Tamandua tetradactyla: one gene and its partners. Each later gene encodes a partner of the first gene's protein in a complex. Links are inferred from orthologs where the notes say so. Each region holds a gene or a part of one and is shown on either strand. Other genes may lie near its edges.

The links.
Region 2: MEFV (region 1) and ZBP1 share a complex: the UniProt entries of both Homo sapiens proteins name them as parts of the AIM2 PANoptosome complex. The link is inferred for Tamandua tetradactyla from reciprocal best matches to the Homo sapiens genes MEFV and ZBP1.
Region 3: MEFV (region 1) and RIPK3 share a complex: the UniProt entries of both Homo sapiens proteins name them as parts of the AIM2 PANoptosome complex. The link is inferred for Tamandua tetradactyla from reciprocal best matches to the Homo sapiens genes MEFV and RIPK3.
Region 4: MEFV (region 1) and AIM2 share a complex: the UniProt entries of both Homo sapiens proteins name them as parts of the AIM2 PANoptosome complex. The link is inferred for Tamandua tetradactyla from reciprocal best matches to the Homo sapiens genes MEFV and AIM2.

Annotation. Positions count from the first base shown.
Region 1 is NC_135349.1:54,083,520-54,091,575, reverse strand, and holds the start of MEFV (pyrin), read right to left. Parts: upstream 3,234-8,056; 5' UTR 1,662-3,233; coding exon 1,346-1,661; intron 1-1,345. UniProt on the Homo sapiens protein: Involved in the regulation of innate immunity and the inflammatory response in response to IFNG/IFN-gamma.
Region 2 is NC_135327.1:27,816,119-27,823,983, reverse strand, and holds the start of ZBP1 (Z-DNA-binding protein 1), read right to left. Parts: upstream 3,397-7,865; 5' UTR 3,241-3,396; coding exon 3,207-3,240; intron 779-3,206; coding exon 554-778; intron 1-553.
Region 3 is NC_135340.1:30,328,480-30,336,724, reverse strand, and holds the start of RIPK3 (receptor-interacting serine/threonine-protein kinase 3), read right to left. Parts: upstream 3,162-8,245; 5' UTR 2,974-3,161; coding exon 2,957-2,973; intron 2,750-2,956; coding exon 2,609-2,749; intron 2,427-2,608; coding exon 2,117-2,426; intron 1,670-2,116; coding exon 1,524-1,669; intron 1,424-1,523; coding exon 1,377-1,423; intron 1,168-1,376; coding exon 1,003-1,167; intron 898-1,002; coding exon 830-897; intron 614-829; coding exon 266-613; intron 134-265; coding exon 73-133; intron 1-72. UniProt on the Homo sapiens protein: Serine/threonine-protein kinase that activates necroptosis and apoptosis, two parallel forms of cell death. Necroptosis, a programmed cell death process in response to death-inducing TNF-alpha family members, is triggered by RIPK3 following activation by ZBP1.
Region 4 is NC_135330.1:12,187,232-12,195,151, forward strand, and holds the start of AIM2 (interferon-inducible protein AIM2), read right to left. Parts: upstream 3,446-7,920; 5' UTR 2,797-3,445; intron 232-2,796; exon of another isoform or gene 208-231; 5' UTR 111-207; intron 1-110. UniProt on the Homo sapiens protein: Sensor component of the AIM2 inflammasome, which mediates inflammasome activation in response to the presence of double-stranded DNA (dsDNA) in the cytosol, leading to subsequent pyroptosis.

The DNA of each region.
Region 1 (8,056 bases):
ATTTCTGCATTTTTCTTTGGTTGCATATTCAAAGAAAATCCTAATTCATGCAGATAAGTGAATGCAAATAGTAATTTTTTTAAAAAGCGTCTCTGGAAATCTCAGGACGCTGTTTAATTAAACAGAAAAGAAAGGCTTTGTTCCAAGGTTTGCTTGAAAATAAGTTAATTTTTCAGCACAGTCGGCCAACAATAATTTAAAATTCGGTTAATGGTATATTTCAATATGTATTTGTTAAATTCTAAAAAAATCCCTGAAATACCTCCCAGAAGCATAATTTGAAAACCACTACTCTATGAAGGAAATACAGATAACCTGTAATAATTAGCACCTTAATTTTCTGTCTGAAGAAGTTCTTATTAAAATTACTTAAAGCTGTTGAAAATAGTTTGCCGTTGATTTTCCAGGAGAACAAAATTACCAAAACTGGCTCCGGAACTGGTAAGAAGCCCTACAGATTTTAAAACATAAAATATAAAAAATTTTACTCATCAAATTACACAAGACTCAGGTAGTTTACAGTTGAATTCTATCACTCCTTCAAGGAACGGAGAGAAACCTTGCGATCTTAAACTGTTCTACCTCATAGAAACATGTCTCTAATGTAGGCTTAAAACCTAGAAAAAGAAAAATTCAAACACCAAAGGTTTTAACTGACCTGGTATTAGGCCCCAAGAAAATCTCAAAAAAAAAAAAAACCTTTAATGGCAGATGTGAATGGCTTTAATCCCAATGAAATAAAATTAGAAAGGTACAACAAAAGGGTGTAGAACAAGGTGGAGAAAGAGAGAAACGAAAATATAGAAGAAGGGAGGGAGGGAGGGAAAGAAAGAAAAGAAAAGAGGGAAGGAAGGAAAGAAAGAAGGGAAGAGGAAAGAAAGGAGGGAGGGGGGAAGACAGGGAGAAAGGAACGAAAAAAGGAAGGGGTGAAGAATTAAGAAATCCTCTTAGAATTTATAAAGACCCTTTTAAAGGGTGTTAAAGAACTCAAAGCTGAAACGAGGCGGCCAACAGTGAGCAGATCACATCCCAACCCCTGACAACAGGCTTGGTTAGCAAGCCCTTTTTGCTACCTGGAGGTGACTTGTCTGCACACGTGTTAAATCGCAAGTCAAGGGACGATTTCTCAGCCTCCAGAGTCCTGGCCAGGAGGAGCCTCAGGCTCTTTACCAACCCAGGTCCCAGGACCCAGGAGGAGAGAGGGGTTGGCCTGGCCAAGGTCCACCGAGGGTGGGGAGACCTGGGATTTCTATCTCCCGGGTCTGGAGTTTCCAGCGGACCAGCTCCCAGTCCGCCTTCCCAGTTCCCACGGACAGCAGCGGGTGGGGGCTGGGGCCTGCCTTACCCTTCCCCGAGGCCCTGAGGAGCTCCTCGGCCAGGAGGCGCTGGTTGATGGCCCGCAGCACCTGCATGGTCAGCCGCAGAGCGTCCTCCTCCCCGTAGTGGCTGATGAGCAGAGAGGCCACCTTCACAGGCCCGGCCATCTGCAGCAGGCCCCGGGGGATGCGGGGTTGCTCCTTCTCCAGGCTGGTGTTCTGCAGCTTGAACTTGAACTTCTCAAAGTCATAGGGCACCAGGTCCTCCAGGGAGAACAGCAGATGGTCACTGGGGGTCTTGGCCATGGCGTGGACCAAGGAGAGGCCACAGCCGGCCAGGAGCATAAGAGGCCCCTTGTCTGGAGCCCGGTGTCTGAGCAAGAAGAGCCGACTTGAGAAATAACGGAAAAGGCACAGGAAGTGCACCGAGCTTTGGTGGGAACTGAGACTGAAGTCATGGTGTGTCAACACCGGCTGGTGTTCTATGTCTCCAGCTCGGAGGGGGCAGTGTCCTGCAGCCACGCATACCTCCAGGCCCCCCAGCTTTCCCCTCTGCTGCCTAGGCTGCAAAGAGGTGGGCAAGGCGGTGATGGAAGGCCTGGCTGGGTGCCATTCCAGGTTCTTGGTCCTAGGGTGGGCACTCAGATGCTTTGCTCTCTCTTCCTTCCAGGACACAGAGCTGGCGGAGGAGGTGGGGCTGAGAACAGAGCTCCCGGTCCCCCTCTGGCCAGCTGTTCTCCTCCAGACTCTTGGGGTTTCATGGGCCCTCCAGGGCCAAGGGCAAGAGAAGGGACAGCAAATACAGGCCTGCAAGCTTTCCCTGCCCTGTCCAAGAAGGCTGCTGAGGCAGGCAGGACACTGCCAGGAGACGAGCCCTGGTGGCACCTCCGTTGATGCAGTTTCAGCTGTTTGGACCTTCTCACCACGCCAAGGCCTTGAAGTGCAAAGCCTGCGACCACCATCTTGATTTTTTGCTCCTGATTCTGCCTTCACTGGAGGGCAGGGTGGACATTCCCTGGAGCCCCAGGTCACTCTTCCACGCACATCTACCAAACTCAAGTGCCAGGATGCTGGAGTGCGACAGTGAAAACAGACACCGGGTCCTCAAGGGAGTGCAGGCCAGCGTGGAGCCCAGAGGTGGCCCGGACGTCAATGGAAACTCCAGGTGGGGTGGGTTGCTCTTGATTGCCTGCCTCTGTCTTTTTGCACGCCTTGGTTTTTTTACCCAACTTTTTACTTTTAAAAATTATGCAACAACAACAACAAAAATTTCAAAAAAAAAAAAAAACACAAAAATTTCAAAACTACAGAAAAGTTGAAAGCATTATACAATGAACATAACACAACATGTTCTTTACCTGGATTCACCAATTGTTTGCATTTTGCTATATTTGCTGCTTTTTCTTCTCTCTCACACACACACATACACATGCACTTCTTCCCCCCCCAACCATTGGGCAATAGAGAACATTTTCACACATCACTCCAAATGCCCTAAATATTCCCAAGAACTAAGACACAAGGATATTACTTTAAATCCTCATAATACAATTATTACACTCAAGTGTAATATACAATTATAACATTGTTAACAGTACTACAATCAGTCCATAGTCAAATTTTGCCAATTGTACTAATAGTGTCTTTCATAGCTTTTTTTTTCCCAATCCAAGATCCAGTCAAAGACCATGCGTCACATTTAGTTGTCATGTCTCTATAGTCCCCCTTTAGCTAGAATACTTCCACCCTTCCCCAGCCTTCTTTTTTCTTCAAGATATTGATGCAAAGTCCCCTTTGGGGAATGGTGAGAAAGGAGGAAAATTCAACTTCCCCAAGTGAAGAATTCCTGATATTCTCACAAGCAGTGGGGACAACCAAAGCAAAAGGCTGAGCCCTCAATCTTGGGATATGTTCATATGAACCTTAACCCCACAGAGGATAGGCTAAGCCTACTTAAAATTAGGCCAAAGAGTCACCCCCAGAGAACCTCTTCTGTTGCTCAGATGTGGCCTCTCTCTCTCTCTCAGCCAACACGACAAGCAAACTCATTGCCCTCCCCCTCTCTATATAGGACATGACTCCCAGGGGTGTGGATCTTCCTGGCAATGTGGGACAGAAACCCTAGAATAAGCTCGGACTCAGCATTAAGGGATTGAGAAAACATTCTCGACTAAAATGAGGAAGAGAGAAATGAAACAAAATGAAGTGTCAATGGCTGAGAGATTCCAAACAGAGTCGAGAGGTTATACTGGAGGTTATTCTTATGTATTAAATAGACATCACCTTGTTAGTCAAGATGTAATGCAGAGGCCGGAGGGAAGTGCCTGAAAATGTAGGGCTGTGTTCCAGCAGCCATGTTTCTCGAAGATGATTGTATAATGATACAGCTTTTGCAATGTGACTGTGTGAGTGTGAAAACCTTGTGTCTGATGCTCCTTTTATCTATAGTATGGACAGATGAGTAAAACACATGGATTAAAAATAAATAAATAATAGGGGGAACAAATGTTAAATTTAGTAGATTGAAATGCTAGTGATCAATGAAAGGCAATGATAAGGGGTATAGAAAAAAATACGGGAAACACAGGCTAAAATATATTGGATAGATGGAAATACTAGCAATAAATGAGAGGGAGAGGTAAGGGGTATGGTATGTATGAGTTTTTCCTTTTCTCTTTTTCTTTCTTTTTCTGAATTGATGCAAATGTTCTAAGAAATGATCATGGTGATAAATACACCACTATGTGATAATATTGTGAGTTATTGATTATATACCAAGAATGGAATGATCATATGGCAAGAATGTTCCTGTTTGTATGTTGTTACATTGAAAAAAATAAAAGACAAAAAAAAAGATATTGGTGCTTTTGAAAATTCTATTCCAAGAAGAATATCCCTCAAGTGAGATTTATCTGATTTTTTCCTCCTTAGACTGAAGATAATATTCAAGTGTCCTCAAGGTCTTCCCATTATAATATTTTTCTTTGTAATTAATCAATAACCTGAGAATGTATAAATGTCTTGTCCTCCCACAATCTTTCATCAGTGGTCTTAGCATCCACTGATGATCTCTTCCTAAATCAATTATTACAATGGTGATTGCAGATAACGATATTTCTATCTCTTAGTTGGCATTATTTGCATATCCTGGTTTAAACTTTTTGTCCTTCTCAATGAAAAGATGTTTTATTGCTAATACAATTACCCTCTGTAGCAGGTTGAACCATGCCCTCTGAAATGATATGTTCAAATCTAAACCTCTAGCACCTGTGAAGGTCACCTTGTTTGAAATAGCATATGTGACCATGTTATGATGAGGACATACTGGTGAGGTTGGGCCGTGAACCCAATGGCTGGTGTCTTTATAAGAGAAATGAGAAGGATATTGGGATAGGGACATAGAAACACAGAGGAGACACACAGGGGAGAAGGCCATGTGAAGGTGAAGGAGATTGGAGTGATGCCACCACAAGCCAAGGAATGCCTGAGGCCACCAGCAGCCGGAGGAGGGGAGGAAAGCGTCTCCCCTGAGCCTTCAGAGGAAGCACGACTCCGCAACACCTCATTCTCCCACTGGCTTCCAACGCTGTGGGAGAATATATTTCTATGACATTAACTCATGCAGTTTGGGGTGCTTGGTGAGGGCAGCCCTGGGAAATGGACACACCCTCTAAGGAGGGCTTGCTCTGTACCAGGCACTGCTTGCTTTCTCTCCATTGTCTCTTAAAATCTCTGCAGCGTCCTGCAAGGCAGGGTTTCCACCCCTGTTTCACCCCCAGGAATCACAGCTTAGGCTTAGGGGCTTCCCCAGAACCAGGATCCAAACTCACTGTCTTAGCCACTCCGTGATATTGTCTCCCTGCATGACAAAAAATGTTTACTTTACTGTTCATCACTACCCATGGATGTCCGTTTTTTGGTTGACCATTGATGCTCAAAATGGGCCGTGCTGACCACTCCCACGGGTCACTTACAAAGGTCTGAGGCCTGGCTGGGAAAACAGCCCAGGGCAGGGCCCGTCTGGGATCAAAGCTGCCCTGAGTCCTGGCTGGTTGGATTTCCCTTATTGCCCAATGCAACCCTTTTGGTTTGTTCTCATAGCTGACAGCACCCAGTTCACTGGATTCTGCTGGGAAGATGACCCCCAAACCCAGCATCTGCCCGAAAAATGCATGAACCCAAAAATGCACATTTATGGTGCAAGCAGTAGATGGGTAAAACTCTCAGGTTGGGTGAGGAGGGGTTTCATGGGTCCTCACGGGCACCCGGACGGTCCCTCTACTGGACAAGCAATGACAAGCCCGTGCAATGAAGCATGGGTTCCCGTGGGTGCCTGGGGACCCGGATTCTGTCTTGACAGGTCAGGAAAGTCTTCTAAGCTGAGACTAAGCACCTACAGAATTGGGTAGGAAATGGGGCTTCCCAGTGCAAAGCAGGATATTTTGAAATCACCAGGCCACCGTTTGCAACACAGGCGATTCTGATGCAGGGACTTCTTGAAGGCAATGTTTGCTGGGTGAAGGGAAGTTTTTTTCCAAGTGTTGAGTTTCCAGTAACTCGGTTTTTTCCCAGAAATTTTTAAAATGAAGAAACATGGAAAGAAGGTTATAACCCTCGTGTTATATTTTCAATGTTTGATGTCAGAATTAAAGTGGGACTCTTATTCTAACAATTAAAGTGACAGACTCTTTTTGTGCACGTCTCTGTGACTGTGGCGTGGCCTTATTTGGAGGGGAGCACGATGAGTCTAAGTTCAAGGCCCTTTGTGAAGATGGGCCTGGATGGAGCTGCTGCCAAGGATGAAATCTGTTTGCCTCCTAAGTCATCTGCACATCCGCCTCCATGCCCGGACAGCAGGGACTCTTACTTTCTATGGCATTCATTTCTGCAGCATTTTGATTTCTGATGAATACAGATTACTTTTATAATCAGGAAAAAAAAAGGATAATTTTAAAAGTCTATTATAATTAGCTTAGCCTCTAAGGGGATATCCATCTTTGTACCCCCAAACCATCGTGATAAAGGAGGTTTATGGTATTTAGATGTAATCACGTAAAAATATTACATTTAAACATAATGTTACCAGTAGTGCATGTAAGAAATGGGGGGAGGGTAGCGGAAGTTTTTTTTTTTCTTTCTTTTTTTGTTGGCTGGAGAGAGAGGCCACATCTGAGCAACAAAAAAGGCTCTCTTGGGGGTGACTCTTAGGCCTAGATTTTAAGTACACTTGACCTAACCTTTGTGGGGTTAAGTTTCGTATGAACAAACCCCAAGACTGGGGGCTCTCCCTATAGCTTTGGTTGTCCACACTGCTTGTGAGAATATCAAGAATACAACTTGGGGAAGTTGAATTTCTCCCCGTTCTCAACATTCCCCCAAGGGGGCTTTGCAAATACTTTTTCACTCACTGGTCAAATCACTCTGGGATTCATCGGGGCATCACTCTGGACAAACCAACAAAATCTCATGTCCTACCTGAGATTCCAAGTACTTATGGCATTCAATCAAACTATCTACATAAGTTATATTAGGAAATGCACTAGTCAAAATATAAATTTTGTACCAAATAAACATTTTTTTTGCTTTACTCTCACACATGAGTTGAAATTTTTAAATATTAATTACCATCTATTTCCAACACCCTGCAGTAATGACATTCCTTTGTTCTTCCTCATGCAAAAACATTTTTAAAATTTGTACATTGTACATTTCAGTACTATTGTACACTCTAGGCATTCCTAGATTATACCATCTTAATCTTTGACATCTATCTTTCTTTCTGATTTCATTTATGTCCCAGCCCTCCTCCCTCTATCATTCTCACATGCAGCTTCATTCAGTGTTTTAACACAATTATATTACAGTTAGGTAGTATTGTGCTGTTCATTTCTGAGTTTTTGTATCCAGTCCTGTCGCACAGTCTGTATCCCTTCAGCTTCAGTTACCCAATATCTTACCCTATTTCTATCTCCTGATGGTCTCTGTTATCAATGAAATATTCCAAGTTTATTCACTAATGTCAGTTCATATCAGTGAGACCATACAGTATTTGTCCTTTTGCTTTTGGCTAGTCTCATTCAGCATAATGTTCTCAAGGTCCATCCATGTTGTTACATACTTCATAAGTTTATTCTGTCTTAAAGCTGCATAATATTCCACCATATGTATATACCACAGTTTGTTTAGCCACTCGTCTGTTGATGGACATTTTGGCTGTTTCCATCTCTTTGCAATTGTAAATAATGCTGCTATAAACATTGATGTGCAAATGTCCGTTTGTGTGTTTGCCCTTATGTCCTCTGAGTAGATACCTAGCAACGGTATTGCTGGGTCATATGGCAATTCTATATTCAGTTTTTTGAGGAACCGCCAAACTGCCTTCCACAGTGGTTGCACCATTTGACATTCCCACCAACAGTGGATAAGTGTGCCTCTTTCTCCACATCCTCTCCAGCACTTGTCATTTTCTGTTTTGTTGATGATGGCCATTCTGGTGGGTGTGAGATGATATCTCATTGTGGTTTTGATTTGCATTTCTCTAATGGCCAGGGACGTTGAGCATCTCTTCATGTGCCTTTTGGCCATTTGTATTTCCTCTTCTGAGAAGCGTCTGTTCAAGTCTTTTTCGCATTGTGTAATTGGATTGGCTGACTTTTTGTTGTTGAGTTGAACAATCTCTTTATATAAATTCTGGATACTAGACCTTTATCTGATGTGTTGTTTCCAAATATTGTCTCCCA
Region 2 (7,865 bases), on another chromosome or scaffold:
TGAACTTGAATCCAAAACCTGCTGTGTGGCTTTGGTGGAGTTAGTTAACCTCTCTGAGCTTGATTTCCTTTCCCGTAGAATAAGGAGAGGAACAATAGCTCCCTCCCACCCAGGGTTGTTCCGAAGGTTAAAACGAATGAGTCTGAATCTCTGAGCACAGCGACAGCCCATTTAAGTATTTACCAAATGTTAGTGCTGTTTTTCCATCAGCTGTAAAACTGGAAAGTTTGCATCAAGTGTGATGCAAACTTTGTTTTATTATGATTCATTCTATCATTGTTATCATTATCACTTTCTGTCATTATTTGTAATGTTTTGTTGCACACCTCCTGTGCACTGGCACTGGGTTTGAGCCCTTTGCTTTTAATTCTCTCCCAAAAAGTAGCCCTATAGTCACCTCCACTGAGCAGAAAAAGAAATCAAGCACAGTGACTGGGTATCACGCCCCCTAGTGGCAGAGCTTGGATTTGAACCCAGGTCAATGGGGCCCAAATGGGACTTGTCCGGGCTGAGGCTGGCTCCCCCTCCCCCTCCCCCCGGGATGACAGGTTACCGCCGCTGGGCTCTGCCAGCGCTGCGGGAACTGCCACTTTAGACCCAGTCCTGCCCAAGTGCCAGGTGGCAGGGGCCGCCAGGGCGACTTTGGACTCCTTTTCCATTTGGTAGAGAAGGTGGTTGAGCTCCTTCTTAGGCACTTGGCACTCCTTCACCAGCTGGGCAGTCTTCACGGGGGAGCCCGCGTCCCGCAGCACCTGCAGGATCTTCCGTTCCAGGTCCCCTAGGAGAGAAAGGGGCAGGGCGGTCTGGGAGAACGGGGGCCCGGGCAGAGGAAGGGCACAGAGGCCCGGGCAGCCTCTGCCCGCTGTGCGGGGCAGGCAGACTGCTCCCAAACAGCCTTGGCTGGTGGCCTGGGAAGGGAGGGGCTCCAGGCAGGGCCCTATGTGAGCGCCCCACGGCAGGTGGGAAGGCAGCTTTCAGCTGTTCTCAGGCAGGGGGAAGGGGCACGGGTGCTGGGGGGAGAGGCCGGCAGTCCCCGCCTGTCACGCCCCACGACGTGGCATTCTCTGATCCCTGTTGTCGTCCTCCCTGCGGAATCCGCCCCTCTGCGTGGTTTTGCCAACTCGGCAACCCGGTCGATCGTGACTCCCCCAAGCCAGGGCCCTGGCAGGCGTTCGGGAATGATCTTTCTCCCAGTGCCCATGTGACTGTGGTGTCCTGGAGAGACCCATTGCCAGGTTCCCCCTTGAATCCCTGCACTTCTCTCTGCTGTACCCACAGCCCAGGTCTCTTGCCTGAGTGACAGCAGCGGGCTCCTGGCCAGAGCCCCCATCTCCAGCGGGGTTCCCCTTGGCTCAGCAGCCAGAGTCTGATTCCAGCTCCTCCCACAGCCTGAAAGACCCACACACTCCAGCTCGGCCTACTGCCCCACCGCCCCCAGTTTTGCTCCACGCACCAACCTGACAGTGCTCCTTTCAGTCCCTCTCACCCCCGGGCCTTGGCACGTGCTGTTCCCTTTGTCAAGATCACTCTTTACCCCGCCTCCAGAGCCTACTCGACATCCCAGGTCTTGCTTAGATGCCATCTCCTTTGGGAAACCATCCTAGACTGCTGTTTATATGTGGGTCCCTACAGAGTGTCCCCACAGACCCCCCCACTGCAGTGGCCTGACTCACCTTGGTACCATCACGGACTAGCCTAGAGCCAAGGACGGTTGAATGAATGAGTTGTGAATGAGTGAATAAGTGAGTAAGTGAATAAATTTATCCTCCACCTGTACAGACATCTGCCTGATGCCCCAGGGGCAGGTCATGAGCAGCTCCCCTGGGCCAGTCCGTATGTGCCTCAGTTTCCTGCTCTGAGTTTAGTGAGCCCTAAGCAGAACACTACGAGGCTCATGGAGGGACTCTCAGAGGCCCCTGCTCCTCCTGGGGCAGGTTCTTGAAAATCAAAATCAGCTGCTCTGCAAGGAGGAATCAGACTCAGGGAAATGAGTAGAAGGATAGTAAAAGGCAGAAACAGGTCAGGGGGCCGTGACAGGGGCAGGGACAGGGACAGCACAGCAAGAAAGCCGGTTCAGGGCCGCCCAGCATGTCACCAGGAAGTTTCTTAACCCCAAGAACCCTGAGGAAGTTCAAAGCAGGGTCCTTCAGAAAGACCCCACCCCTGGGTTCAGGTAAAGAGCAATTAGAAAACCTGGAAGCACCACCTCATCAACCCCCAAATCACAGCCTCAGTGGGCCAGAAATCCCAGCAAACTGGCTGCAGTCTTGACAAGAGTTTTGCTTCTTAAAGAGTCTGCCCAGCAAGTTGGCTCAACTTCCCTCTTCCCCAGCCCCAACCCTGACCCCAAACAAGAGGTGGGGTCAGAGACGTGGGTGAAGGAGAAGGCACCCCGTTCCAGCCTGCTGTGTTGCAAAATGGACCAGATGTAAATGATGAGATAGATGGAAAATCAACCGGAGAAGAAGGAAGATGGGAGAGGCCAGCGCATTCCCAACCCCTGGAAGGATGAGCTCAGGGACCAGCCGGGGCTCCGGGCTGCACCCCACCGAGCCCCCTCCCAACTCTCTCTTTTCTTCCTTTTTATCCTCTGGTGATGGGTTTCCTGGGTTTGAGCCCTGGTTCTGCTGCCTACTGGCTGTGTGGACGCTTTGTGCCTTGGTTTACCCTGTCTGTGAAATGGGGCTAATAACAGCATCTGCTTCAAAGTTTGTGGCAAGGATGGAATGAGGTCACCCCAAGCAGCACCCTCAGCCCACAGGCCACGGGCGCTTAGCAGACAGCCCCAGACAACTGCCCAGTACAGTGGATTTGTTACTCTTCTCAGAGTGAAACTAACTGAGGGGATGCTGGAAACGGGAGAAAACATACACGTGGGTAGTTCTTTGTTTCTCAACATGAGTATGAAGAGGGGGTGGTTCAAATCCTGCCTCTAACGCTAGCCGGCTGGGCTGCCCCGAGTCACCCTGCAGCTCAGGAGCCTGGCCCCGTCAGCTTGTCTGCTCGGCAGGAATCCTTGCACTCCCCGCGCCCAGCCTGAGGGCTGTTTGGGGGAGCCCTGCCGTAGGTGCGCCCCCAAGGCCCTGTCCTGCTGCTCCGGCCTTTGGTTCCTGTGCCACAGTTACCTTCGTGATCTGGGCCAGAAAGAGAAGTGCATGTCCCCTCCCGGGAGCCCCGCTCTCCTGGGAAGGAAGAACTTACTGTACCTTTGGTGGCTGTGTCCGCAGCGGCCTGGGCCATGCTGACAGCAGCGGGATAGAGACTGCGGGGAGCTGGCACTGGCCTTGGGAGTGGGTGCCGGGTCACGGGTGGGAGGTCAGCTTCAGCTGCTGCTATCAGCTCCTCACACTGCAAATGGAGGCCTGCCCCCTCTGTTTCCGGCCAACCCAATGAAAAAGAAAATGAAACTTCTGTGGTTGACTTTCTAAGTAAATAAAACTGCAGGATCAACCAGCAGGGCAGATGTTCACTGGGTGGGGCTGGATCGGAGTGAGCAGCCCTGGGCCCTTGCCTGAGCCGCCTGCACACCTGGCTGCTCGCCCCGACCTCCCTAACCCCGGCACCCAGGCTGAGACACCTGGGTGGGTGCTCACATGCGTACCGAGGTGACAGCCCTCTCGAATGAGCGCCTACAATGTGCTTTCCGATCTCCTGTGCTCCTCTATCTCACCCAGACTGGCTCTGTCCTCTTGTCTCAGAGAGGAGACGAGGCACAGGCCAGAGAGGTCATAAAGACAGTACCTGGCAGAGACAGCCTGGCTGCCTCGTGGTTTGTCTTCCAGCTGTGTTTCCTGAAGTCCTGTGTGAACCACATTCAGCCCACAGAACCACATCAGGCTCCCAGCCACGCCACAGAACCTACCGAGTAATTTGGGGATCACAGAATAGAAAACCACCCCCAGGGCCCTTATTGCTCGGTGTTGGGGAATGCGAGCCTGGAGCCCGGCTGCTTGGGTTCAAGAGCAGTCCCACAGTTTGCTGGCTGTGTGATCTTGGGAAAGTTATCTAACCTCTCTGGGCCTTGGTTTCCTCACCTGTCGAGTGGGATTAATAAAAGTACCTAATTCATTGGGTCACAGTGAAAACAAATCCGTCCATCCTAAGGTGCCAAAATACATTTCTCTCCGAAGAGAAACTATTGCGTGTACAAATTCTCAAAGGAGCCAATGACCCCAAAACAGTTCAGAGCCACTGTTCTCTTCTAGTTTCTAGAAGGGGAAACTGAGATCCAGAAAGGTGAAGGGTCTTGTGGGCAGCCGAGAGGGTTAAGAACTCAGCCGTCACCTCACACTTACAAGAATGGCTGCTATTAAACAAATTTGTAGGATACTACAAATGTTGAAGAGGAGGTGGAGAAATTGGGACTCTTATGCACTGCTGGTGGGAATGTATAATGGTCCAGCCACTATGGAAGATAGTTTGGCAGTTCTTTGAAAACTAAATATCATGTTGCCCTATGACCCAGTAATACCACTACTCTGTATATACTCAGAAGAGCTGAAAGCAGTGACACAAACAGACATTTGCACACCAGTGGTCATAGCAGCATTACTCACATTTGCCAAAAAATGGAAACAATCCAAGTGTCCATCAACAGACAAGTGGATAAACAAAATGTGGCACATACATACAATGGAGTATTATGCAGCAATAAGATGAAATGAGATCCCAAAGCACATGACAACATGGATGAAACTTGAGGACATAATGCTGAGTGAAATAAGCCAGACACTAAAGAATACATACTGTATGATTTTGCTATTATGACCTCGGTAAAGGCAAACTCAGAGGCTTATAATATAAGATATAGGGGACCTAGAGATACATAGAAGTTAGAGATGGGTGAGCAGTTAGTGAGGTTGAATTTAAATGTAAGGGAATGGCAGTTCATTAGTGGGTTTATAAGTAATACTGCCGTACTGAGGGTGAACATGATTGAAAGGGGTCGTATGGAGCCACGTATCCCACTGATTAACACTACAAATATAAATAAGTTCTTGCATGAACTACTTCAAAGGTATGAATCTTGTACAAAGGGTCAATAATAGAGGGATATAGGGGGACATTGCCATTGCATACTATGGTCTATACTTAACAGGAAGACATCAACAGTCCCACAGCAATGCCAGGGGTAAATAATTGGGGGGTGGGGAGGACAAGAGTTAAGGGAAGGTTTGGATTTTCCATTCGGTGAGTGTTGTAGTTTGCTAGCTGCCAGAAAGCGATATACCAGAAACAGAATGGCTTTAAAAAGGGGAATCTAATAAGTTATACGTTTACAGGTCTAAGGCCAAGAAAATGCCCCAATTAAAGCAAGGCTATAAAAATGTCCAAATTAAGACCCCAAGAAGAGGTTACTGTCACTCAAGAAAGGCTGATGGGTTCAGCGTTTTGCACTCAACTGGGAAGGCATGTTGGGAATATGGCAACATCTGCTAGCTTCCTCTCCCCGATTCTTGTTTCATGAAGCTCCCCCAGGGGCATTCTTCAGCTCCAAAGGTTGCTGGCCTATGGACTCTGTACTTCTCTCAACCTTGTGGCTCTGCTAGGCTCTGCTGTGGCTTTCTCGCGGCTCTAAACTGTTTCCTCTTTTAAAGTATTAATGGGCGGAGTCACCACTCCATGGAGCTATCTTATCAAAAGTTACCACCCACAATTGGGTGGGTCACATCTCCATGGGAACAATCAAAATGCTCCCAACCAGCAATACTGAATGAGAATTAAAAGACATGGCTTTTCTGGGGTCCACCACAGATTCAAACTGGCACAGTGAGGATGTGTCTATTGGTTATTTTTCTCTTTGGAGCAATGAAAATTGTCTAAAATTGAGAGTGTTGATGATCCTGCAGTGAAGTGAGGATAATGTGAAGCAGGGGTTGTTGACTTTGGACATTACCCATGATCCTCAATGGATGGAGGTGGCTGAAGGGTACACTGAGAACGGAGAGCTGTGGTATGTACATGTGATGGGATATCGTATGGCTACGGAAAGGAATGCAGTCATGCAGTGAGGTGAATGAACCTTGGGGTCATAATGTTATGCAAAATAAGCCAGAAACAACAACAACAAAATATTGTACGGTCTCTTTTAGAAAATACTTATAAGAAAATTAGGGCTTAAATTGTAAACTCTTACAGCAGTCACATTTAGTCTAGAGCTGTAAATGTTATTTCTAGGTTTTGAGATGCTGTGGTATTTATGTATAACCTGGTATCTCCCTGGAATTTGGGCAACCTGTGTGACACCTGAGACTGAGTTGGAATTCTGCAGCTCTGCAAGTCAGCAGTGCTACCTACAGCAACTGTTCAAGAAGCTAAGAAATAAAGAGATCAGGCTTCAATTAGAGATAAGAATGAAGCCAAGCTGGTCAGGACTAAGGTAAATCAGAATACAGGGGTAAGGGTGACATTGCATTTTAGAACGTCACCTACTATATGAGACCAAAGGAAGGGAGGTTTATTTTGTCCAAAACTTACATTTTCTGTAGCACATAATCTAACTCAACCTGTTTGGATCACTCATTTAAACAACCCAAACATATGGAGCCCAGAAAGGAAATGAGAGCTTATAAGACTGTATAGCTTGACATAATACCAGAATACAATCCAGAATATGTTGGCAGATAATTAAAAAGTATTGGCAAGGGCGGGCCGTGGTGGCTCAGCAGACAGTTCTCATCTGCCATGCAGGATACCTGGGTTTTTTCTTTGCCATGCAAAGAAAAAAAGAAAGGCAGGACATATATATTGAAAAAGTATTGGCAAGTGGGGTGCACAGGTGGTTCAGTGGTAGAATGCTCACCTTCCATGCAGGAGACCCAGGTTTGATTCCTGAACCATGCCCCCCCCCAAAAAAAAGTACTGGCAAAGCCCCTTGAAAAACTGGAGAAAACATATGAAACTATTAAGCTTTACCACTGGGGAAACCCCTGATATTGTGTCAAACATTAGGGACTCCCTAGTCAATAAGCCAAGCCCTTGATCTTGAGGTTTGCTCTTATGAAGCTTATTTCTGTATCAGAGACGCTAAGCCGACCTATACTTATGCCTAATAGTCACACCCAGAGAACCTCTTTTGCTGCTCAGATCTGGTCTTTCTCTCTCTCTAAACCCAACTCTACAAGGAAAATCATTACCCTCCCTGCCAGGCAGGACATGACATCCAGGGGTGAAAGTCTCCCTGGCAACGTGGGACCTGACTCCCACAGATGAGTCTGACCCTGGCAGCATGGGATCGACAACGCCTTCCTGACCAAAAGGGGGAAATGAAATGGAACAAAATACAATATCAGTGGCTAAAAGAGTTCAGGTGGAGTCAAGAGCCTATTCTGGAGGCTACTCCAGCTTCAGCTAGATATTGCTCATTACCACGGTTTGCCAAACTCCAGCCAAGATCATTCCTATTAACCCTAAAGGACACTTATGATTTTATCTGAGAGTCTACAAAGTTTCAGGCACTAAGATTACTTCCCAGTAACCTACAACCTCCAGATGGGCACCTAGGCCAGATAAGTCCTGAAACCCAGAGGGGCCAGCCTCTCCAAGAACATCAACTAGTTCCATCCCTCTATCCCATATTATCAACAAGAAGTTAGAATGGCCATAGTCCAAATATCCCTAAAGATTGGGAGAAGGATCAAAGGAGAGGGAGGAATTAAAACAGAGAAGATAGGGTTTAACAAATGAGTATGACTGCTGAAACATTATGTTGATATTTCTTTGAGCCTCCTGTGTCTTGGAGCAGCTAGAAGGAAAAACCTGACGCTGTGGATCTGTAACCCATACCAAACTCTGGAATCTGTGTTGTAATTACTTGCTACAATGTACTTTGAAATGTATGGCTTTTTTTGTATTTATATTTCACA
Region 3 (8,245 bases), on another chromosome or scaffold:
TATCTATAAGTCTTGAGGAATAAGCTGGTGGAAAAATTGAGCAAGGGAAAGAAGAGGGTGGGAGATTGGTACCTGGAATTGAATTTGTCTGATGGTTCAAGGGAGACCAATTATTGCCTTGTTTCTCAGCCCCCTGCAGACAATACAGAGCTTTTCAGGCCTGTTTCCCCCACTATACATCCCCCTCAGCCCCAAATTTTGTCCGGCGAAAGGACAAGATTCACAGGAAGTCTCAGTCCATTCCCTAGACCCACCGATGTCTTACCTGGTTTTCTTGGGGCCAAGGACCTGAGGCCCAGTTCGAAGCGAGGCTGGGCATCTGGTTTATGAAAGATGAACTCTCTGGAGTTTGGGGAGGTCGGGCATTTGAATCTGAGGATGTCCCTGCTGACCTGGCTTCTTGAACCTGCTCTTCCTTTGGCTTGATTCCCTCAGTAAATTTGACATATTCTTTAGGATCAGAGCTGGGGTCCTCCTCCAGGTGCAGATTGTTCAGGAATTCAGAGATCATAGGATCAACTCCAGCACCATCCATCTCCATCCCTCCTGGGCCCAGTTTTGGGGCAGAACCCCTTCTGTTGCTGCCCCTGTGCTCAGACAGAAATGTCCTCACCTGTAGGGACAGGAAGAGCTTGTCATGCACGGAAATGGGAGAACCAGAGTGTAAAGCAGAGGAAGTAGTCTTGGGTCATATTCTGCTACCTGGGAATTTGCAGGTAAGGTGGGGAGAGTGGATATACAGAACTGTCATTAAAGGGAAGTCACTGGTGGCCAAGGAGACCATAATGTGCTTTCCCTGACCAGCCCCTGGGTGGGGTTGGGGGCTCACCATGGAGACAGAGGCATCCATCTCATCTTGCACCTGAAGGATGACTGCAGCCATTTTTGGTTGGCAGTCTGGAGAAATGGCAAAATGGCTAGGTGAGCTAAACATCATTCCCAGGGAAAAGCCTGCAGTGAGAGCCAGGCCTGCCCCTCGTGCTAGCTGAATGGTTAGCTCACCCTGGAAGGAGGGCCTGTCACTGGGCTTGTGGCTCCAGCACTGCTGCATTAATTCTTTCAGGTCTTCCAAGCCAGGAGTCTTGGGCCCAGGTTGGGGCAGCTCTCTTAATGAGGGCCGGCTCTGCTCCTCACACACTAATATCTTCATCAGTGTTGTCTTGGGCACTGGGGCAAAGGGAAAGGGGGAGGGAAGAGATATGAAGGGTAACCTGCTTCATCATTAAAATCACCAGGGAATATGGTCCAAGGGTTTTGTGGGGAGGGGAGGCATGAATAAGGCAATGTGCAGAGATGAGCAGGAAGGGAAGGGCTTGGGGGTTTGAGGGAGGAGGGCATATGGAGTTAAGGATCCTGGAGTCCACCTAGAGTCTTACTCTCAGCTTCTTTTCCAGCTAGCACTTCCCACATGAGGATCCCGAAGCTGCAAAAGACACAAACCTGAGGCTTGGCCCAGCCACTGGCAACACCCTGCTCCCAGAAAGATGTTGAGATTTGGGATATGTTTGGGGTGTGTACCTTACCTGAAGACATCACAGGCTGTGGAGGGATTCTGGTTTACATCAGCCAACAGTTCTGGGGCCAGGTAGGCTAGGGTGCCTATTGGATTGCTGAAACTTTTTCCTGACTTTGAACTCTTCTGAAATGTGGATAGGCCAAAATCTGCCAGCTGCAAAGGAAGGGAAAAAGAAGGAGGTAGGGGAAGGCATCAGGCAGCCTCCAATGCACCTTCCTGCTCACTCTACTCCTAACAGTAGATGCAGCTCCTGCCTTGTAAAGGGTGTGTGTAAGGTCAGAGGAAGGGGAGGGTCAATGGGGCCATTGGGTTGGAAGACTATGTCTCCTACTGGATGGGGCCAGATCAAGGCCTGAGTCTTTTGGGCTAGGTCAGTCATGGCTCTTTGTGGGGACTGACTGAAGGGGCGGGGATGCCTGAGGAAATAACTGGGGTGGGTCAGGATCTGTTTCCTGGTAGGACAGAGGTGGAAGTTCCTGGGTGGGCCTCGACCCCTGAACAGGACTGTGTCTGCAGGGCTCCAGTGAACTAGGGCAGCACAGGGTCTGTGTGACCGGCCCAAGCTGAAGCAGCTGTGGGGCAGGATGGGTGTGGGCTGACCTGAGCGTGCAGCTCAGAGTCCAGCAGGACGTTGGACGGCTTGAGGTCTCGATGCAGGAGTACGGGGTTCAGGCTGTGCAGGTAACACATCCCCAGCACCACCTCCTGCAGGAGGCGGCAGAGGAGCGGCCAAGGCCGAGGGCACCCGGGTTGCAGCAGCTCTGTGAGGGAGCCGTTCTCCATGAACCGAGTCACCAGAGCCGGCCTGCACCCATACGCAGACTTCAGTTTCTCAGTGACCCCCAGCAGGAGCAGCACAAACTGGTTACGCAGACTGCCCATGGCCTTCACCTCCTTGGATAACGTCTCCCTACAGGCCAGGAGAAGGGTGCTGAGTGGGCCCAGCATCCTGGAGAGATTTTTCTGCTCTTCTCCCCTTCCCCCCAATCCCTTTCCTCCCCGCCCCCGCCTTCCCTCTCCCAGGCTGCAGGGCACAGCATCTCGGGCCTCCTAGGTCAGGACCCGGTGCTGTCCGACGCCGACGTCACTCACGAGTTCACCAGCTTGAGGGCCACATCGTAGCCCCACTTCTTATGTCGGGCCCTGAACACCACGCCGAACCCGCCCTGGCCGACCAGCGTCGGGTTTTCCAATTCCTCGAAGGACACCTTGGGGGCAGGGGCACCTGTGGACCTTAATGAGGTTGCCTCGTCCACCAGGCGGCCACGGTCCCACATCGGCGCGGCGCCCTCCCCTCCTCCGTGCAGTAGCCCTTCCCCCCGCCTCTCCGTCTGTCCCGGCCTGGATTCGGGGCGCCACGGTGCTCCCGAAGGTGTCCGCCCGGCGCCCTACTTGCTGGACAGTCAGTGTGCCCGGTCGACACCCCCACGCCCCTCTCACCATATTCCGCTAGACATCAGGCTGGGCTTCTGGAAGTCGTGACCTGCAGGGATGGAGGTCTTCGGGAGCCGGACGTGGGGGGAAGGAGGGGAGGTCGGGGGCTGGGAAAGGGTCAATTTCTGGGTCCAGCAGGGACTCTGCCTCCAGGGTTTCTTCCGCTACGCTACACGGAAGGAGTGAGCACACTTCCTTCCCCGACAGGCTCGCTGTCAGAGTCCCGCCCCGGGGGTGGAGCAAAACTAAAGCTACTGCAGTTTTTGTTTTTTCTAATTAGTGTTTCCTCGAACACCTGCTGCATGCCAGGTCCTTATTAGGGGTCACTGGGCGTTTAAGGTGCTGCAGAAGGTGTCGTCACCTTCCAAGAATCCCCAGTCAGCCCTCAGTCCTACCGGCTGGGTCTCTCCCTTCTCCCAGGAGATTCCCAGCTCCACCACTTGCCAGGCCTGCAGGGCAGTGCTTAGAAGGGTTTTATGGGCCTGCTGCTCAGCTCTCCCACAGTTGCCCTAAGATCATAGCTAAGACTTCTGTAATACTCACCCTGTGCCAAGCACACATATTAGCTTGTTTAATTCTCACATTAACCATAAGGGGCTAGGCACTGTGTTTATCCATTTCTTTTTTTATGGAAGAGGAAACTGAGCCACCTTAAGTTCCTCGCTCAAGCCAGTAGGAAACTGGCTCCTGCCTCTTAACTGTCAAGTTACTTTATTTTCACGTAGCTTCAGGGCTGTACCCCTCAGCTGGTGGTGAAAGTGTCTGGGGAAGGTATGAAAGGTCCACTAAGACAGTGAAGGGTCCCCATCTGTAGTCTGCCCAGTCCCTGATAGCTGCTCTTGCTGAGGCAAGCACCCAACATTGGTAGTGATCTGTCTGCTCTGTAAACTGTAAACTGGGACTCCTGGAGCTGGTGAGACCAAAACCCACTCACTCCCAGGGCATTGAGGTCAGTCTAGATGAATTAGCTCAGCCAGAGAGTTGCTGACATTGTGGTGTCCACTGCAGTGGAAACACCTTAGAGTCCTCCCTACCCTCATGCCAACTTCTCCATGCAAATCCCCTGACCAGTTCGTATACCTGACAAGCACATGTTCTGGGCTCCAGGCTCTGAGAATGTTGGAATTCAGGAAGCCTTAAGTATTTAGGTAGCCTGGCCATGGATAGAGATTGTAGGAAGACTCAACCCTGGAGGGCTCACCTTGATATGCACTTTACATCCTGTCCAGTGGTCTGTGGGCTCTGTTAGTTGGAGAAGAAGTGCCCAGCAGTTAACTGTGGCTTCCAGAGCAATTGGAAATTTCAAGATGTACACCATGGTTTCTGGTGGGATTTGCCCATGCTTTGGAACAATTTTATTTTAGGAATTCCTTGAGGTTACTTCTTAGACCATAGTTTCTTTACAAGACAGTATATGGTAAGCACCCAATAATTATTGGCTAAATACAATGACTGAGTGAATGAATGAACAAGCAAAATTTGGGGAGCTTCCTTAAGTCTCTGATCATTTCAGCTACAGCTCCATATGCATTGGGAAGAGGGTAGATTGGGCTCCTTTATGGTTTGGGGACTCTCACTTGCACAGTTGATGAAATTAGTCTGAAACAGACTTTATTATAGAGATATAATATTGAATCCAAAGACAAGAATAACAGCAGGTCCTCAAAAAAAAAGCCTCGAGTCAGAAGCTGGGAGCCGTGCAGAACCACAGTCACTCCCTTGGTGATTCTTTTTTCAGGAGAAGACCCTGGGATCAATAGTTCCACTTAAAAGGAGCAGGCAGAAGGGAGTTAGAATTGTGTTTAAAGACCTCTTAATGCTTGAGTCTCTTTAGATTGGGACAAGACTTTGAGGATAGGGAAAAGCTACTGTGGGACACTGGGGTGAGGTGGAATCAGGGTTCTGTTACTTTTTGACTCAAAATAAATGGAACCCCTTTCAGAGAAGGAGGGGTGAGTAGCGGAGCTTAGAATGAGTGCCTTCTGCTTCCAGTGGTGATGTGGTGGTGGTGGTGAACCAAGAGAGAGTTGATTCCTGATTTTGGAGCTCTGGCTTTTCCTGAGGCTTGGTTTTCTGACCCCAGTAGCCCCAGGCTTTGGGGGCAGTGTTAGATGTTTTTCATCCTCTTTGGTTCTCTGCTCCTGATAGTTTCTGATTACCTTTAGCCCATGCCTAGTGCCTGGTCTGATTCCCAATCCCTGTATATAAGATGTGTGTATTTGGGGTGGGGGTGGGCAGGAGGGTGTGATCTGTCTTTTTGCATATTCTAATACTAACTGATGCTCATCTCTTGTTAGATTAAGAGGATCTGGTTATACATAGCAGGAAAGGAGAATTGCAAACCAATATCCCTTATGAATATAGATGTAAAAATCCTCAACAGATTACTAGGAAACCGAACCCAATGGTACATTTAAAGGATTATACACCATGAGCAAGTGGGATTTATGCCAGGAATGCAAAGGTGGTTTAACATAAGAAAATCAATCAGTATAAAACACCACATAAATAGAATAGAGGAAAAGAACCCACATGATTATCTCATTTACTCAAGAAAGGATTTGACAAAACTCAGCCCCATTTCTTGATAAAACACTCAGAAAAGTAGGAATAGCAAACTTCCTCAACATGCTAAAGGACATAAATGCAAACCAATGACTAATGTTGTACTCAATGGTGAAAACTGAAAGCTGTTCCCCAAAGATTGGTATGCTGGTTTGAAAGGATTTATGTACCCTAGAAAAGCCATGTTTTAATCCGAACCCCATTTTGTAAAGGCGGCATTTCTTCTAATCCCTATTCAGTACTGTATGCTGGAAACTTTAATTAGATCATCTCCACCGAGATGTGATTCAATCAAAAGTGAGTATTAAATTTGATTAGGTGGAGACATGTCTCCACCCATTCCAAGTGGATCTTGATTACTTTACTGGAATTCTTTAAAAGAGGAAGCATTTTGTAGAAAGCTTCAGAATGACATAGCCATGAGAAGCAGAGAGTCCATCAGCCAGTGACCTTTGGAGGTGCCTCCTGGGGCGCTTCATGAAATGAGCAGCCAGAAGAGAATGCTAGCAGACTTTGCCATGTGCCCTTCCAGCCAAGAGAGAAACCCTTAACTTCATCGGCCTTCTTGAACCAAGGTATCTTTCCCTGGATGCCTCAGATTGGACATTTCTATAGAATTTCTTTAAGTGACCTTAGGACTATAAACTTGCAACTTATTAAATTCTCCTTTTTAAAAGCTATTCCATTTGTGGAATATTGCATTCCAGCAGCTAGCAAACTAGAACAGTTGGGAACAAGACAAGAATGCCTGCTTTCACAACTGCTATTTGACATTGTACTGGAAGTTCTAGCTAGAACAATTAGGCAGGAAAAAGAAATTAAAGACATCTAAATTAGAAAAGAAGAAGTAAAACTATCTCTACTTGAAGATTATCTTACACATAGGAAATCTCAAAGAATCCACAACAAAGCTACTAGAGCTAATAAATGAATTCAGCAAAGTGGTAGGGTACAAGGTCAATATGCAAACAATCAGTTGTTTTTATATATCAACAATGAACAATCTGAAAAGGAAATCAAGTAAAACAATTCCATTTATTTTAATATCCAAAAGAATAAAAATACCTGGGAATAAATTCAACAAAGGAGGTGAAAGGCTTGTACTCCCCAAATTACAAAACCTTGCTGAAAGAAATTAAAGAATACCTACATATATGGAAAGACATCCCATGTTCATAGATTGGAAGGCTTAATATTGTTAAGATGTCAGTACTACCCAAGGCAATTTACAGATTCAACACAATCTCAATTAAAATTCCAACACCCTTCTTTGCAGAAATGGAAAAATCAATCATCACATTTTGTATGAAATGACAAGGAGCCCCAAATAGCCAAGTCAATCTTGAAAAAGAAGAATAAAGTTGGAGGACTTATACTTCCTGAAAGTCCTGGGCTGGGCGGAGGTCAAAGATGTGAAGCAGAGACAGAGACATGACACTGGCAGTGGGAAAAGCAAGTTTTATTAGCAGGGGAACACAAAGAGAGGTGATTCAAGAAATCAACTCCTGCCTGCCTGGATTTGAGTAGACATTTTTAAAGGGGGTTGAGGGTAGGGTTAGGTGGGTTTTCTTTGGTGAGTTCTTGCAAGTGAGGGATTTATCACAAGAATACAGCTGCTGGAGAGGATCAGAGAGTTTTGAGATGTTGATTCTCTGTGGCAGTAGTTTTCATCCTTGCTTGATTCTCTGGTTCAGCTCTCACAATTCTCAATTTCCAACTTTACTACCAAGCTGCAGTAATCAAAACAGTGTGGCATTGGTTGGCATATGTTGACCAATGGAATCAAGTAAGTGAGAGTTCAGAAATAAACCCACAAATCTATGATCAATTGATTTTCCACAACAGTGCCAAGTAGTTTTGACAAAGGTGCCAAGTCCATTCAATAGGGGAAGAATAGTCTCTTCAACAAATGGTGCTGGGAAAACTGGATATTCATATGCAGAAGAAAGAAATTGGACACCTAATTTACACCATATATAGAAGTTAATTAAAATGGATCAATGCCCTGAATATAAGAACTAAAAACACAAAACTCTTAAAAGAAAATGGGGGGATATCTTCAGGATGTTGTATTAGACAATGCATTCTTAGAGATGAAACCAAAGGCACGAGCAACAAAAGAAACAGATAAATTGGATTTCATCAAAATTAAAACTTTTGTGCATCAAATGATATTATCAAGAAAGTGAAAAGACAACCTGCAGAATGAGAGAAAATAGTTGCAAATCATACATCTGATAACAGTTTGATATCCAGAATATATGAAGAACTGCTACAACTCAACAACAAAAAGACAAACAATCGAATTATAAAAATAGACCAAGGACTTGAAAAGATATTTCTCTGAAGAAGGTGTACAAATGGCCAATAAGCACATGAAAAGATGCTCAATATCATTAGTCATTAGGGAAATGCAAGTCTAAATCACAACAAGATACCATTTCACACCCGCTAGAATGACTACTATTTTAGAAATGGAAAATAGCAAGTATTGGCAAGGATGAGAAGAAATTGGAACCTTTGTGCATTATTGGTGGAAATATAAAATGATGCAGCTGTTGTGAAAAGCAATTTGGGCAGTTTATCAAAAAATTAAACATAGAATTACCATATGACCCAACAATCCCACTCTTCGATATATAACCCAAAGAATTAGGGACTCAGACAGGTAGTTGTGTGCAAACGATCATAACAACATTATTCACAATAGTCAAAAGGTGGAAACAACCC
Region 4 (7,920 bases), on another chromosome or scaffold:
CACTGATTGTACACTTTGGATGATTACATGGTGTATTAGCTAAGGTTCTCTGGAGGAACTGAACCAGCAGGAGATATTTGCAAATATAAAATTTATAAAGGTGTACTAACCATGGGAATGTAGAATCCAAGGTCTCTATAGCAGTCCGCGAGCTGGCAGCTCCAATGAATGTCCTCAACAAACTCTCAGGAGAGGCTGACTGGGCAACTGCGGGGATATAAGAATCAAGGTCTGCAAGGCAGACCACAAACTGGCAGCTCCAATGAATGTCTTCAATGAACTCTCAGGAAAGGCTGGCTGGTTAAAGCAGGAAGAGTGATTGTCTCTTCTGAATACTCCTTAAAAGTCTTCTGGTGATTATATTAAGCGTCACTTGTTACAGAAGACACTCCCCTCAGCTGATTGCAAAGGCAACCAGTTATGGATGCAGCCAACAGATTCATGAATTAAATCTATGAAATGTCCTCATAGCAACAAACAGCCAGCACTTGCCCAACCAAACAACTGGGCACCACCACTTGGCCAAGCTGACATATGAACCTGAACATGACATATGGTATGTGAATATAACAGATATATATATCAACTTAAAAAAAATAGAAAAAAGATCAAATGGAAGAACGAGTTTCAATAGCAGCAAAAGCTCAAAACATAGCATAGGAAGCAGAGAAATTAGATGAAAACTAAGAGGAAGAGTGATGTCTCATAGCTTTTAATTAGAGACATAATTGCTTCCTTCTTTCCTATTACTTTCTTTGCCTTTGGAATGCGTGTATTTTATCACTAGGTTCTGGGCAACCATTACATATATGGCTTGCAAACCTGCTCTGACAGGCTCCGAGAGCAGTCTCAGCCTGTAACAGAAACTATGTACTCCAGAAAGGGATATATGCAAGAAAGTAGTGTGCTCTGAGATTGAAACTGGGAAGAGGTTAAGATTTTTAGAATAGTGATTAAAAACTAGATAGTTCAGGCAATATAGAATCCTCTACTTTTCTTCCTAATACAGATTGTGTGCCAGGTTCCCTCATGATAAGGGTGGACCAGATTATAATTGACGGGGTTGGCAAAATGGATGATCAGCGCAGGAGAGTTAAGCCTGTAGACTACAGCTAATGTCTAAAGAGAATACTTTTCAATTCTTTAGATGGGGAACAGGAGGGGTGGCCATGGATGGACACAGAGAACCTTCTTTTATGGCTCCCTCAAAGGATTTTATCACTACTGCCACAGTTAATCCACCCAAAGAACCATCTTATTATGTTTTAGGTTCTCCATTTCCATTCTACCAAGGGAAGTTCTGAACTCTCCTCGGATCTAATGCCTATCACTCATGTGAAGTTGTGAAGAAGTCTTCCGAGACTTTAACGAGTTTATTCTCCCAGAAGGAGATTATAGGTAATAGTACAATTATAGTATTATTCTTTCATCAGTTATAACAAATGTACCATACTAATGCAAGGTGTTAATAAAAGGTGTTAATGATATGGGAACTCTGTATTTTCTGCAATATTTTTCATGCAACTTTTCTAATAAGAAAATTTTGCTTTAAATCCAGTTCCTATGCTTTTACAGATAACAATCTAAAGCATGAAAATACTGAAAAGTTGAAGAAGAAATAATGGGAAGAGTTACATTATGCAAATACTAACCAAAAGGCAGATAGTATAACTATATTACTATCAATCAAAGAAGACTTTGAGACAAATAGCATCATTAAGGATATCATTTCCTTACAATGATTAAAGATTAAGTTTACCAAAACAATATACCAATTCGAAACATGTAGGTACCTAACAAAATAGACTCAACAGATACAAACAATAATTGATAAACCTTCAGGAATAAATTGACAAATACACCATGATGATGGGAGATTATAGCAAATTTCTATCAATAAATTATAGCTCAAGTATCAAAAAAATCCGCAAAAATATAAAAGAGCTGAATAGCACAATTAACAATTTTGATCTGATGGAACACTTAGAAATATTTATTATATATTCAAAAGAACTATAAAAGATGCCTTGGCAAATTTCAAAGAATAGTTATAATATGAAAATAACTGGTTTCCCAAACTCCAGGAATTTAGCCATGACTGTGGGAAAACTGGGGTCCAACCTTAAATGGACTGAAATACATTTTCTGACCTCTAACAGACTAGAGGAAATAGAAATTACTGTGTAACAGAAAAATGTTATAAATCCACACTCCTTGCATATCTGAGTTTGTGGAATGAGAGTTTATCTGCTGTGGGTTTTTTTTTTTTTTAATTGCAAGAACTCTGTAAAATACAATTTTGTGCTCTGATGTTTTTAACCAAATATCACAGAATAGGCCTTTTGACACGCCATTGTTCTTGTATTTTTTCCAGGAATCGCTCCCCAGATCCTAAGTTTCTCTCTCTCCTTCATAAGCCAGATATCAAAAGCCCTCTTCTAAACATAAACTCATGTCAATAAGCAACCTGGAGGTCAACACACCCAGAAAACCAGAATTCCTCTTAGGCTCATTCTGGGTCAAGTCCTTGAACAATTTATTCCAACACTTGCTGCGGCCAAATGCATTTCCTTTTATTAAAGTTTTATTTCACCTTATGGTGAAATAAAACATGGCATCTGTTCCTCAGTCAACTGAAGGTTTAAGATCAGATTGCCTACAGCTCTTCTTTTTTGGATATAGTAAATACTAGCCTTTCTTCCCACCACAAAAACCCATAATCACTATTTCTCTTGATGTTCAGATTAGCAACTGATTCCCCTGAGATTTCTGTAGAAAATTTCCCAGGGGCCTTACCTTACTGGCTCTCTTCCACAACAGCCTAGCTGTGAATTCAGAGTTTCAGGGACGACTGTTAGCTAGAACTAGCTAGAGCTCTTCATTAGTTAGAATGGTGGGCCATGGTAAGAAGAGATTTTGAAAGACAAGGAAAAAGTGCTACTGGCTGTTTCACTTCGAAAGTTAACCAGCTCTTGCATTTAACAATGTGCAGGATTTTAAGGCTCCTCCCATCAAAGTTCTTAACTTTCTGTTTCTTGTCTTAGACAAGTCTGACCAGTTTTCCTCCCAACTTGAAATTTCAGCCAAAGACATTTTAGCATGAAGAAATGAAAGCAAATAGCTCCTTCTCTATTTTGTTTCCTAAATTTTAAGGAAGTTCACAACCTAGAGTACTGGTTCTCACAGTGTGGTCCCCGGGCAGGCAGCATCAGCGTCTCCTGTAAACTTTTAGAAGTGCAAATTTGGAGGCCTTACCTCAGAACTACCGAATCACAAACTCTGAAGATGGCATCCACAAACAGTATTTTAAAAAGCTCTCCAAGGTGATTCTGCTGCACAGTGAAGTTTGAGAACCACTGCTCAAACATTCCTTTTTGTCTTCCATATGGGCCAGTAGATTCCCATAGCCTTGGTTGAGGCTGTTTGTAATTATGGTTAAGTCATGCAGAGAAGTGAGTGAGCTGATAAATCCTGCTAGATAATCGAAGGAGAGGAAGTAACTGGAGGAGATATCGGTGATCATATTAGCATCATGTGTGCTCCATACCTTGGAGCAGGGCAAGGTAGAGCTGAGATAAAGTCTAGATAACCTAACCCAGGGTTTGGCACAAGTTAAGTGTCAGGTCTCCTACAACTATCTCCCACCACAAGTGCTTGTCCTGCATGGTGTCAACCTAAATGTAAAGTAAAAGAAAAGCTGACAGATTGTATTAAGAAATTTAAACTGATATTAAATTCATTCATTTATCTGTCCCTTCATTCAACAGATATTTATTTAGCATTTATGTGCTCAGCTTCATCTCCTGGAAATTTTAAGTAGTTATAGCAGGCTTTCTTAGCTCTCCATTCCTTAAGCAAGAGTTTGGAGGTAGTTATAGTTTTCTTGCAGATGTTTTTTGCCATTGCCTCGGATTGAGTCCTAGCAACTGTAATGAATACAACAGTACTGAAAAATATGAGTTTGCCCTTGGACATTGAGGACTAGTACTTGAACTGCAATATTACTATGGATCGTTTGGGCTGTCTGGTATGCACACGATCTGGAACTCAAATCCCGTAAGAAAAGAGCTCACCATGTCTTGTAGGAACTGAACTCGTCTTGGCCACTATAGTGATCATGCCTCAGGGTTAAGAACGCAGTCCCCATCAAGGCAGACTTTCCACGCAGACTTACAAATAAGCACCTATTATTCCTATCCTGAGTACAGACACTGGCAAAGCCAGCTATCTCAACTCCTCTGGACCCCCATTTTAGGCCCCATTCTAGGGTTCCAGGCAAATTGTAGTTGAACTACATGCATTTTGTATATATAAAATGTATTTTATAAAACTGGGTAGTGCCAAGCTATTCAGTGAGATACTGCTTCTCCAGATGAAACTGAAAGTGTGATTATTCATCTCCTTTCCTAAATCAAGGGATGGTTCTCTGTTTAACATAAAAACATGAAGGATGCAAAAGGTCAGAAGCAACTTTTCAGGCTCAGAACCCCTGATATAAAATGGCCTAGAAGTGAGGAAAAGAAAAAAAATCAAGGCCATGTTCATCTAGCTAGATTTCAGGATCAAGAGGACATTTTGAGCACACGTTTTAATTCCACCCCACCCTTCAAATGCCTCCTTTGTTTCCATCTATTTTATTACAAAATTTAAATCATAAATTTGAAAATAATTTGGGATTCCACAAACCATGCGCATATAATACAGCAAACTTAACTGATAAATGTCATATGTGTTCAGACTGCTCCACTGGCTGGCTGTTCCCCTGTCCCTTTTCCTCTCCTCAGCTCTCCCTATTCCCTGAGACACAACAATATTGAAATAAGACCATTCAATAACCCTACAATGGCTTCTAAGTGTTCAAGTGAAAGGAAGAGTCGCACGTCTCCCACTTTAAATCAAAAGCTAGAGCAGGGCAGTAGTAAATAGCCAAGAACTGTACAGAATTACTGCTGGGGGAATATCAGTGACTGGACACACAACATACACCAGCCTAGATCCAATGGAACAGCTGAGACCCCACACAGAGGGTTCTTCTCCCAAGCTGAAGAGGACTGCACCCCTCTCCCATGGGCATGGCAGGCTGGCTCCCCAAGGGGAAAGGAAACAGACTTTACTAGCAGCAAGGGCTTAGCTCAACCAATCTCCAACTGTGGAATTATTTAACAAATTCTGACTACTGGAAACAGGCCTCCAGCACAGATAAACCTGGAATAAGCACTAAAGGAACTAGGAGTTTTTGCCTCAGCAGCTAGGGGACAGGGTTGACAGGAAAAAAAAAACAAAAAACAAGCAAACAAACAAAAAGGTTTTTGAGTTGGACAGCACAAAATACTGGAAAAGGGCTGAACCCCAAGTAGAGAGGGCACATAGAGTCTGGAGATACACAGAGCCATGCACTAACTTAAGCTCTTGATTAACAAACCTGAGGAGCAGGAGTTTGGTTCTGAAAAGTACATTTTTTGCTTTTTTTTTTTCACTCCTTAACAGCTCATTAGATAGAACCAGAAGCACTCTCAGACTCCAGCACTGCTCCAGGCAAGGGTGGAATCAAGCTTGTCTGAGAGACAAAGTAACTAGTCAGATGAAAGAAGTTAATTCCCTAGAGGGTGAATCTTCCCCAAGAGGAAGGTGGGGCCCAGCTCAAGTGGAATTGCTCCCTCAAGGAATTCAAGCCCCAAGGACTGGAAAATTGAAGCAATTAAAGTGATCCTTCAACCTCTACTCTGCCTCAACCACACCCCAGCAGGGACAGTCCGCTGATATTAAAGGCACCACATCACTTTACACTGGTGGGAAGTGATGGGCAGACAAGCACCACATGCTGGGCAGGACAGGAAAAGCAGAGTCTAGAGGCTTCATAGGAAAGTCTGACAACCTGCTGGGTCTCACCCTCAGAAAAAACAGATGCTGGTGACTCTTTGCTCTTGAGACACGGGCCTATCTGGTCTGGGAAAAATCTGACTGGGGTCTGTAATATCTGAAGAGACCTTCCTCAGAAATGTAAAAAAGGCTCCATACAGGTAGGGCAAGAAACAGAAAAATAAGAACTGAAAAATTGTGATCAGTTAAACAGAACCTATGCTAGAGGTCTAGAATAAGTTGAACTGAATGTCAAAGAACAGATGGAGAACAAAGCCATTCAGCAAGAAAATCCTAGGTAAAGGAGTGAAAACAAGCTCCAGAGTAAACTAATTAAGGAAACCAAATACCTAGATGCCAGCAAAAAATAATGACTCATACCAGGAAAATCAAAGATATGACCCAGTCAAAAATATAAACCAACAACTTCAAATGAGATACAGGAATTGAAAACTAATTGAGGATGTTCAAACAGACATGGAAAAGCATCAACGAGTTTGGGGAGGATATAAAGAAAATATGGGGAAAACAAAAGGAAGAAACTGAAAGTTTGAAAAAATAAATGGCAGAACTTATGGGAATGAAAGACACAATAGAAGAGATGAAAAACAATGGAAACCTGCAAGAATAAATCAATGACTAAGCTGAGTGAGGAAGCATGCCGAAAGTGGAGCTAGGCCAAAAGCTAGGCCTCTTGCTCCAACAGCCAAGTTGTGAATACAAAGCAAAAGTTCTTAAAGGAAATTAAAAGTTCTACTCCAATGAGCACACTTACAAAAAGAAAGTGGAATAGCCTTATTGCTGATATGGAGAGAGTTTTGGTGATCTAGATTGAAGATTAAACTAACTACAACATTCCCTTAAATTAAAACCTAATCCAAAGTAAGGACCTTATTCTCTTCAACTGTAGGAAGGCTAAAAGAGTGAAGAAGTGGCAGAAGAAAAATCTGAAGCTAGCAGAAGTTGATTCATGAGGTTTAAGGAAAGAGGACATTTTCATTACATAAAAGTGAAAGGTGAAGCAGCAAGTGCTGATGTAGTAGAACCCACAGCAAGTTATTCAGAAAATCTAGCTAAGATCATTGAAGAAGGAGACCACTCTAAACAACAGATTCTAAATGTAGACAAAACGGCCTTCTACTGGAAGGAGGTGCCACGTAGGACTTTCATGGCTACACAGGAGAAGTCAGTGCTCGGCTTCACCACTTCAAAGCAGAGACTGACTCTCATTAGAGGCTAATGCAGCTGGTGACCTTAAGTTGAAGCCATTGCCCGCTTACTATTCCAAAACCCTTAAATCTCTTAAAAGCTATGTTAAATCTACTCTACCTATGCTCTACAAATGAAATAACAAAGCCTGGATGACAAGACATCTGTTTACAACTTGGCTTATTTGATATTTTAAGCCTGCTTTGATACTACTAATCAGAAAAAAAAAAAAAATTCCTGCTCACAGACAGTGCACCTGGTCACTGTATGACCTCTGTGGAGACATACAATGAGATCAATGTTGTTTTCATGCCTGCCAACATAATATCCATTCTGCAACCAATGGATCAAGGAGTAATTTCAACTTTCAAGTCTTATTAAAAAATTCATTTTGTAAGGCTATAGCTACCATAGCTAACTATTCCTCTGATGGATCTTTTTTTAATGCAGTTTTATTGAAATATATTCACATACTGTATAAATACCCAAAGTGTACAATCAATGGTTCACAGTTTCATCGTATAGTTGTTCATTCTTCACCACAATCAATTTTTGAGCCCTTTCATTATTCTAAAAACAAAAATAAAAAAGAACACCCAAAACCTCTGATAACCCTTATTCCCCACTGTTCATTTATTTTTGTCCTTATTTTTTCACTCATCTGTCCATGCACTGGATAAAGGGAGTGTCACCACAAGGTTTTCACAGTTACATGGTCACATGTAAAAAATATAAAGTTACACAACCATCTTCAAGAATTAAGCTACTGAATTATGTTCAACAGTTTCAGGTACTTTCTTCTAGCTATTCTACTACACTAAAGATAAAAAGGAATGTGTATATAATGCCTAA